Macaca mulatta: one gene and its partner. The protein of the gene in region 1 purifies or fractionates together with the protein of each later gene. This does not show direct contact. Links are inferred from orthologs where the notes say so. Each region holds a gene or a part of one and is shown on either strand. Other genes may lie near its edges. The genes, in order: INSRR and HSP90AB1.

Region 1 (3,804 bases):
AGAGCAGGCCCCTCTTCCCACCCAGGCCAGACTCGCACCCTGCGCTTCGTGTCCAACGTGACGGAGGCAGACCGCATCCTGCTACGCTGGGAGCGCTACGAGCCACTGGAGGCCCGCGACCTGCTCAGCTTCATCGTGTACTACAAGGAGTCGTGAGTGCCGGGGGCGGGGCCGGAGCGGGGGCGGGGCCGGACGAGGCCAATTTCTTAGGGACCACAGGCAGGTGAGGGCGGAGCTCAGCGAGGCTATGAAGACCCAGTTGTCTTCAAGGACCCCCAAGTTGTACTCCGTGGTAGGGTCCAGGTCTGGCTCTCTCACCTTCTTCATGCCTCCGTGCCTCGGTTTCCCCTCACCAAGTGAAATGGAGAAGACAGGGCTTCTGAGAGCCCAGGAGAGCCATCGTGCTGGGAAGGCTTGGATCATTAAACTTCAATTCATTATGCTAATGTTCTACACTGACCACACGCTCCTGCCCCAGCAGCGGTTTGGGGAGCGCCCACTAATTTGGCCAGTTTTATGAGCAGCTCTGCCAGCATTTCATTTAAGCCTTAGGAAGGGAGGGAGCAGGGGCCGCCAGGGACCACACTGCTCTTTTCTTTGGCGAGAGTCAACTGACCCTAACAGTAAGGATAGTGGTTAGACCACAGGAAGGACTTCTCCAAAAACACGGCTAGGAATCAAAAGGAGACATCCTTAGAGGAGGCAGATGGATTTCGAATGTAGACTGAGAGAGCAGGAGTAAGGAGTTCATACTCTCTCTCTCTCTGATAGATAGTATAGAAGATGGAGGCCACCTGGCTTAGAAGCATTTCCTGTGAATTAGAATGGAGATAACTTAGCTGACCACCAGCTCAGGGTCTGGCTTGGGAGGACAGAGGAAGGAAGTCAGTTGTAGGAGACCCACTCAAATGGCCAAGACTCTCCTAGGTCTCAGTGGTAGGTGAAGGTCTCTAGCATGGGCAGCTGGAGAGTTTGTTAAATACAAATTCCTGGGCCTCACCCTCACTAATTCTGATTCAGTTAATCCTGAGTAGGGCCCAAGAATCTACATGTCTAATAAGCTCCTAGGAGATGTTGAAGCTGCTGGTTTGTGGACTGCACTCTATGGAGCACTGGCCTGACTACAATGTGAATCTCCCCTGGCTCCCCGGCTTGGGCACTTCACAATCGGCACAACTATACACAGCTGTCTCTGGGCTCAAAGAGCAGAGAACCTTGGGAGTCCTTCAAGAAGCTTCCCTAACATCACTGCCTTGCAGTGTGGCTGCAGCTATGCTCCCTCAGAGACACACACTGCAGATCCTGCCCAACCCTGACTCCAAACAGACCCAGACCTGCTCAGTGTGTCATGCCTCACAGGACACCTGCTCCCATGACACCCACTATGAGCCCCTGCGCACCCCTCCCCAAGATGCTCCTGGACTATCCTGCTTATAGGTCCCAACAAAGGCAGGCACTTCCAGCTGGGCCACAAGTTCCCCCATCACCACCCAATATGACCTCCCTCAAGTTTTGTCCCTGGCTCGACATGAATTCCATCACCCCCTTCCCAAACCAAAGAAACAAATATCATGAACATCAGTGTGATGTTCCATTGTCTCCCGTGGTCTATTCTGCTATCTCCCATGTGGGTCCCACTTTCATCTCCCCCAGGGAGCCCTCTTCTACCCCTAAAGCCAGTGATGCTTCCCCAAGCCCTGCCCCGAAACTGGCCTTCAGGCAGCCAGCACTAGTTGCCTCTGGCCCCTTAATTTCCCTGTGGCAATGGATCTTGGCCTTTTAGGGTCACGGACATGTTTGGGAGCTGTTGAAGCTAGGAACCCTCTAGAAAATCACACATGCACCAAACTTTCCCTATAGTTTGGGAGGCTCATAAACCTCCAAAGTCAATTCAAGGGCCTAAGTGAAGATACTGGGAAGGGAGCAGTCTCCAGGTCCTGGTTCCAGGCAATTACACTTATGGGAATTAGGATAACCTTATTGCTTGCTGTTTCTAGGAGAGGGGACTCTTTCACACACACTTTCTTGTTTTATTTATACAATGCAAGATTTGTTCAATATTCATTGAAGCTAGAGCTCGATATTCCCTGCTAAGGATGAGGAGATACATCATTACAAATTTCCCTGACACAGATATCAAAGGCCGTCCCCTCCCCACCTTTGCCAGGGTCTAACAGGTGGCTGGAGTCATGGCTTTGCCCTCACACGTACTGGAAGAAGGACAATGATAGTCCTGGAGTGATTCAGTGCGGGGGAGGCGGCGGGGAGGTGCCAGAACTTGGGGGTGGGGTTGAATGACCCCTCAGCTCTGGGGATGGGTGTTCAGCCCATTCCAGAATGCCACAGAGCACGTGGGTCCAGATGCTTGTGGAACCCAGAGCTGGAACCTGCTGGATGTGGAGCTGCCCCTAAGCCGCACCCAGGAGCCAGGGGTGACCCTAGCCTCCCTCAAGCCTTGGACACAGTACGCAGTGTTTGTGCGGGCCATCACGCTAACCACTGATGAGGACAGCCCCCATCAAGGAGCCCAGAGTCCCATCGTCTACCTCCGAACGCTGCCTGCAGGTAAGCATTTGGAGGGCGCAAGAGTCAGTCAGACGCCTGCATCCATGAGAACAGGGGAGCACAGACATCAGAAATAGAGAAGCCGCAGCACTGAACACCTGGCCCACAGAGGCTGGGAGGCCAGATGCTTGAGTCCTAGAAAGAAGAGGGGGCATCTGCCTAGGTCCTTGCGGGGCTGGGATTGGGACAGTCCAGAGTCCGTAGTTGAGGGAACTCAAGGGCCTATGGCAGAGAAGGGGAGGACAGAAACAAAACAGTGAGTTCTAGGAAAGCAGAGATGAGGATCACCTATTCTTCGGGAGAACAGGGCTGTTGGACCCCAGAGAGAGGGGCTCATTACTAGACAGTATTCAAGAGGAAGCCCCACAACCCCTGAGTTGCATCCTTCTCGCACTCCTAGCTCCCACGGTGCCCCAGGACGTCATCTCCACGTCCAACTCCTCCTCCCACCTCCTGGTGCGCTGGAAGCCACCCACCCAGCGCAACGGGAACCTCACCTACTACCTGGTGCTGTGGCAGCGGCTGGCAGAGGACGGCGACCTCTACCTCAATGACTACTGCCACCGCGGTGGGCAGGGACGACGCGCAGGCCGGCCGCGGGGCGGGTGGGGAAGGGAAGATGGAGGCGCAGGGCCGGGGCAGATGGGGGAATCAGGGGCGGGTAGACGGCCTGTCTTACTAGTGTCTTCCCGCTATGGCGCCAGGCTTGCGGCTGCCCACCAGCAACAATGACCCGCGCTTCGACCGCGAAGACGGAGATCCTGAGGCAGAGATGGAGTCCGGCTGCTGCCCTTGCCAGCACCCACCTCCTGGTCAGGTTCTGCCCCCGCTGGAGGCGCAAGAGGCCTCGTTCCAAAAGAAGTTTGAAAACTTTCTACACAACGCGATCACCATCCCCAAGTGCGAAGAGCGCTCGCGGCCTGGGCCGGTCTGATGGGTGGGGCCTGTGAGGGGTGGGTCTTGCTGGAAGGGTGGGGTTTGTGGGCGGAGCCTTGCTTGTGTGGGCGGGGCCCGGGTTGTGGGTGCTTTTGGAGGCAGTGCGCGCTGCAGAGGGCGTAGGGATACACACGGACAGGCCTGATAGGGCTACCCCTGGCCTCCCCAGATCCCCTTGGAAGGTGACGTCCATCAACAAGAGCCCCCAAAGGTGAGAAGGACTAGGGCCGTGGCTGAGGGGCGTGGCTTTTGGGGCTGGGCCTTGGCTCTGACTCGCTCTCCCCAGGGACTCCGGGCGGCACC
Region 2 (4,372 bases), on another chromosome or scaffold:
TTTGGTATTCAACACATGAACAAAGCTTGTTAACGAATGTAGACTGGGTAACAACAGGGCTGGTGAGGGAGGACGACGTGGGTGGCTGTGGGGAAACTCTTCCCAAGCATCCTAGGGGTGGGCCAGGAAGGGGACTAGATGGACATCTACAGGGCACAGAGCAGGGAGCGGCTATTCTCTCCTGGAGGGGCTGTGGGTCCAGCAGGCTTTCGGATGACGCCTTGGAAAGGCAAGGACAGCTTGCCGACTGGAGGGCAGGCAAAAGGGCGGAGACAGGCCAGAGACGGCGGCCGCAGTTCACTGACCAGGAGTATGGCCTAGGGGTTCTGGTGCCAAGGCTGAAGGGGAACAACTTGGCCAGCCGCTCTCTGGCCGGCGTCTTCACGCGGCCTCCAAGAGCTCCTGTTGCCCTGCAGTGGCTCCTAGAGACTCCCTCCTTCCCACGTCCAAATAGCTGCAGGAGGGAAGTGGGAGAAAAAAAGCGAACCAGCTTGAGAAAGGGCTTGACGTGCCTGCGTAGGGAGGGCGCATGTCCCCGTGCTCCGTGTACGTGGCGGCCGCAGGGGCTGGAGGGGGTCCCTCCCGTAGCGACTCCAGTCTCAGAGTGCAAAACGGTACGCCCGCAGAGTCGCCCCAGGTGCTTGGGTGTTGTGTGATTGACGCGGGGAAGGAGGGGTCAGCCGATCCCTCCCCAACGCTCCATCCCATCCCTGAGGATTGGGCTAGTACTCGCGTCGTCTCCGACAGGTCAGAGCCGGTCCCCGGGTGGGGTCGCTGCAAAAACCCTGCTCTGGCCGCAGCCGGAGAGGCGGAGCCCCGCGGGGAGGGGGCGGGCGGGGGCGGGACCGCCGAGACAGGCCTGGAAACTGCTGGAAAGCCGCAGCGCCGCCGCGCCTTCCGCCGCATGCCGGCAAAGAGTCCCGCCGGCCCCGGCCGGCGCCCTCCCCCCACGCTGAGATACCCCACACTGCGAACCCTCCGCCCTTCCTCTGCTCCTGGGAGAGTCAGGATCTGGGGCTAACCAAGGTCGGGTCCCGAATGCCAGTCCCTCTGTCGGGATGCGAAATGTGTAGGGCATATGCTAGGAAGAAGATTGGGTATGGGAGCAGCGGTCGGAGTGGTTAGCTGCCTCGGCTCTTTTTAGGTGTTTCCCCCGGGCTCTGTCCTTGGGTGTGGGGACTCCTGCCTCACAGGTTTTTAGGGAGGTCAATGGATTCCTCGCCCGTAGAGACACCGTATATGCCAAATGAGCACTCCTTATCCCAGCTCTTGATGGGGTCAGGTCCTAGACATGAAGATATGGGGCTGTGATCACAAGCAAACGTGTGGGTGGATCCGTTGCTTGGGTTCTTCCCCGCCCCCTCCTTTTTTCGGACCATGACGTCAAGGTGGGCTGGTGGCGGCAGGTGCGGACTTGACAAGCATGCTCCTTTAAGGCGGAGGGATCCACGGGAGGGCGGCTGTTCTGTGCTTCGCCTTATATAGGGAGACTTGGGGCACGCAGTAGCTCTCTCTAGTCACTCCGGCGCAGCGTTTTGTGCCTGGTAGTCATCAGAAAGCAAGCCCACGTTCTTCTCTAATACGTGTAAGCCTTTTCTTTTCAAGGTAAGGCTGAATTCTTCGTTAGGCTTCTTTAGTGCTCTTTCGTGTTGCTCTTGTTTTTTTCTGTCCTTTAGGGAGCCTAGATACCGGGGTGGCTTGTGGATAACGCCCTGGATTTTTATAGGGTGAGGGTAGTGGTAGGTGAGGGCTCTTGAGTTTTCCTCGGTTTTCTCTAGTGTGCTTGGGCGGTGGGGCTTTCTCTTGGCTCCTCCTAGCCGTAGCGAGGTGGGCTGTGGGGCTGGGGCAGTGCGCGGCGGGCAGCTGCACGTGGTGGCCGCGCGGCCCGGGACGCTGCCATTTTTGCCCCTCCACTTCCGGACGCGGCTATAGGGCGTCGGAGGGGGACCGCAGGATGGCGGGGGTGCCTGCTCGGGTGACTCAGCACGGCCCTGTGGGACTGGCTTTGCCACATCTCTTATCGGACGCGTTGTTAAAGCCGCCTTGGGTGCTTTGTTTCTGTGAGGGTTCATGGTGTGGGAGGAGCGCTTTCGGTCTCCAGCACCCCATACTCCCTCCTTCCAGATCTTTATTGCAGTCCCGGTGGAGGAGGGTTGGGGAGGGGGGCAGGTTCTGGAAGATTCATGGGCTCCCTCCTCCGCCCGTCCTCTAGAGCTGAGATTGTTCTGGAAGCTTCTGGATTCTGGCGCCCCGCCCCAGTGCCCGGATGCTGGGGCGAAGGAGGGTGCACGGCGGCGCCCCCTCCTCGCGTGGTCCCTGCCGACGCATGTCCGGCAGTGACGAGTGTCGGCCTGGTGGTTACGGCCACCATCTTCCTTCTGTTGGGTTTGGGCCTGTTCTGTAATTTTGTCCTGTGAAGGGGTCGTAGTGGAGCTTTTGGCTTATCGATTCTTTGTCCGGATTTAATTGCCCCTCGGGCGGGTATCCTCTGGATCCCAGGTTATTCCTCCCTGCAGTGTAGGGTAGGAGTGTCCCGCCCTTGGGCTGGTCTTAGGAAGACATCTCAGGGGGAGCAGTTTAAAGTTAGTGCCAAACTAGTTACTTTGATCTCCAAATGAAGAACTGTAGGTAGCGATTTTCACATTTAAATTTGTGTAAGGATTATCTGGGATCTCTGGATACCTGGGTTGGACCAGCATTATGAGTTTCTGCCATACTACCGGATGACGCTGAGACTGCTGGTCACCACTCTAAGTAGCTGGGTTCTGTGACATTTGGTTGAAGAACATTCAGCTTATTTTCTTTTTCCTTCTGAATTTTCAGGCTTCCCACTTAGTGTGTAGCCTGAGATCTTTTAAGAGAATGCTTTTTCGGTCTTTTCGGAAGGGATAGTACTCAGGTCAAACCAGTCTCAACTCTTAAGGTCCTAACAAATGAGATGACCTTTAGGATTTTAAAATGTGAGGCCTTCATGTTTTGTAATTAATGATCATTTTTATTTTAGATGCCTGAGGAAGTGCACCATGGAGAGGAGGAGGTGGAGACTTTTGCCTTTCAGGCAGAAATTGCCCAACTCATGTCCCTCATCATCAATACCTTCTATTCCAACAAGGAGATTTTCCTTCGGGAGTTGATCTCTAATGCTTCTGATGTAAGTGCTGTGGTTTCTATATTTGGTGTGTTTATTTTTTTGACACTCTTCGTAGAGAGGAAAGGAGTGGTTTGGCCTTTGTTGGGGACTACTATTGAAGGGGGTAAACTTGCAACTATTCCAAAAAGATTTGTCTTATTCTCTGGCCATCTTGAACTTGAAAGGGAAGTGACTATGTCCAGAAAAAGTGGGCTCATGTAACTAACTGTAGTTCTAAAGCCTCAAGATAAGGGGCAATCAGATTTGAGGCTGAGAGAGGTAAACCAAGATTTTCTTTGAAGACACGGGCTTTAAGAAAGCAAAAGTGACCGAGCGTGTTGACTCACACCTGTAACGCCAAGGCAGGAGGATCACTTGAGCCTAGGATTTCGAGGGCAACCTGGGCAACAGCCAGACCTTGTCTCTGCAAAAAATTAAATATTAGTTGAGCACAGTGGCATGTGCCTGTAGTCCCAGCTACTTGGGAGGCTGGGGTGGAGGATGGCTTGAACCAGGGAGGTCAAGGCTGCAGTGAGCTGTCATCCTTGCTACTACTGCACTGTAGCTTGGGCAACAGAGCAATTGCCTGTCTCGGAGAGAGCAAAAGTAAGTTGCTGTTTGTATTCGTTTCAGGCCTTGGACAAGATTCGCTATGAGAGCTTAACAGACCCTTCGAAGTTGGACAGTGGTAAAGAGCTGAAAATTGACATCATCCCCAACCCTCAGGAACGTACCCTGACTTTGGTAGACACAGGCATTGGGATGACCAAAGCTGATCTCATAAATAATTTGGGAACCATTGCCAAGTCTGGTACTAAAGCATTTATGGAGGCTCTTCAGGTACTGCAGTTCTGTAGGCATACACCATTCATATTCATCAGTGTTCTTTATTTTTTTTGCTGCTTTAAATTTTGTGTTTGACTTTACAAAAACTTGTTGGCAGGCTGGTGCAGACATCTCCATGATTGGACAGTTTGGTGTTGGCTTTTATTCTGCCTACCTGGTGGCAGAGAAAGTGGTTGTGATCACAAAGCACAACGATGATGAACAGTATGCTTGGGAGTCTTCTGCTGGAGGTTCCTTCACTGTGCGGGCTGACCATGGTAAGTTAGCTTTTCTGTTACAAGGTAGCTGGGTTAGAGTTTTGTGGGCTCACCAGTAGCAGAAATTTTGAGCATCCTGTCAAGCAGTTCTTCATAGCAGTTCCGCTAATACTTTATTAATTTGGTGAAGTCTCAACTG

What was found.
Region 2: the proteins of INSRR (region 1) and HSP90AB1 purify together in Homo sapiens (affinity purification with mass spectrometry; 3 studies listed by BioGRID and IntAct, with this or other methods). This does not show direct contact. The link is inferred for Macaca mulatta from reciprocal best matches to the Homo sapiens genes INSRR and HSP90AB1.

Annotation. Positions count from the first base shown.
Region 1 is NC_133406.1:110,077,152-110,080,955, forward strand, and holds part of INSRR (insulin receptor-related protein), read left to right. Parts: intron 1-25; coding exon 26-152; intron 153-2,326; coding exon 2,327-2,565; intron 2,566-2,965; coding exon 2,966-3,133; intron 3,134-3,269; coding exon 3,270-3,465; intron 3,466-3,670; coding exon 3,671-3,712; intron 3,713-3,787; coding exon 3,788-3,804. UniProt on the Homo sapiens protein: Receptor with tyrosine-protein kinase activity. Functions as a pH sensing receptor which is activated by increased extracellular pH. Activates an intracellular signaling pathway that involves IRS1 and AKT1/PKB.
Region 2 is NC_133409.1:137,866,824-137,871,195, reverse strand, and holds the start of HSP90AB1 (heat shock protein HSP 90-beta), read left to right. Parts: upstream 1-1,505; 5' UTR 1,506-1,605; intron 1,606-3,004; coding exon 3,005-3,151; intron 3,152-3,763; coding exon 3,764-3,970; intron 3,971-4,073; coding exon 4,074-4,233; intron 4,234-4,372. UniProt on the Homo sapiens protein: Molecular chaperone that promotes the maturation, structural maintenance and proper regulation of specific target proteins involved for instance in cell cycle control and signal transduction. Undergoes a functional cycle linked to its ATPase activity.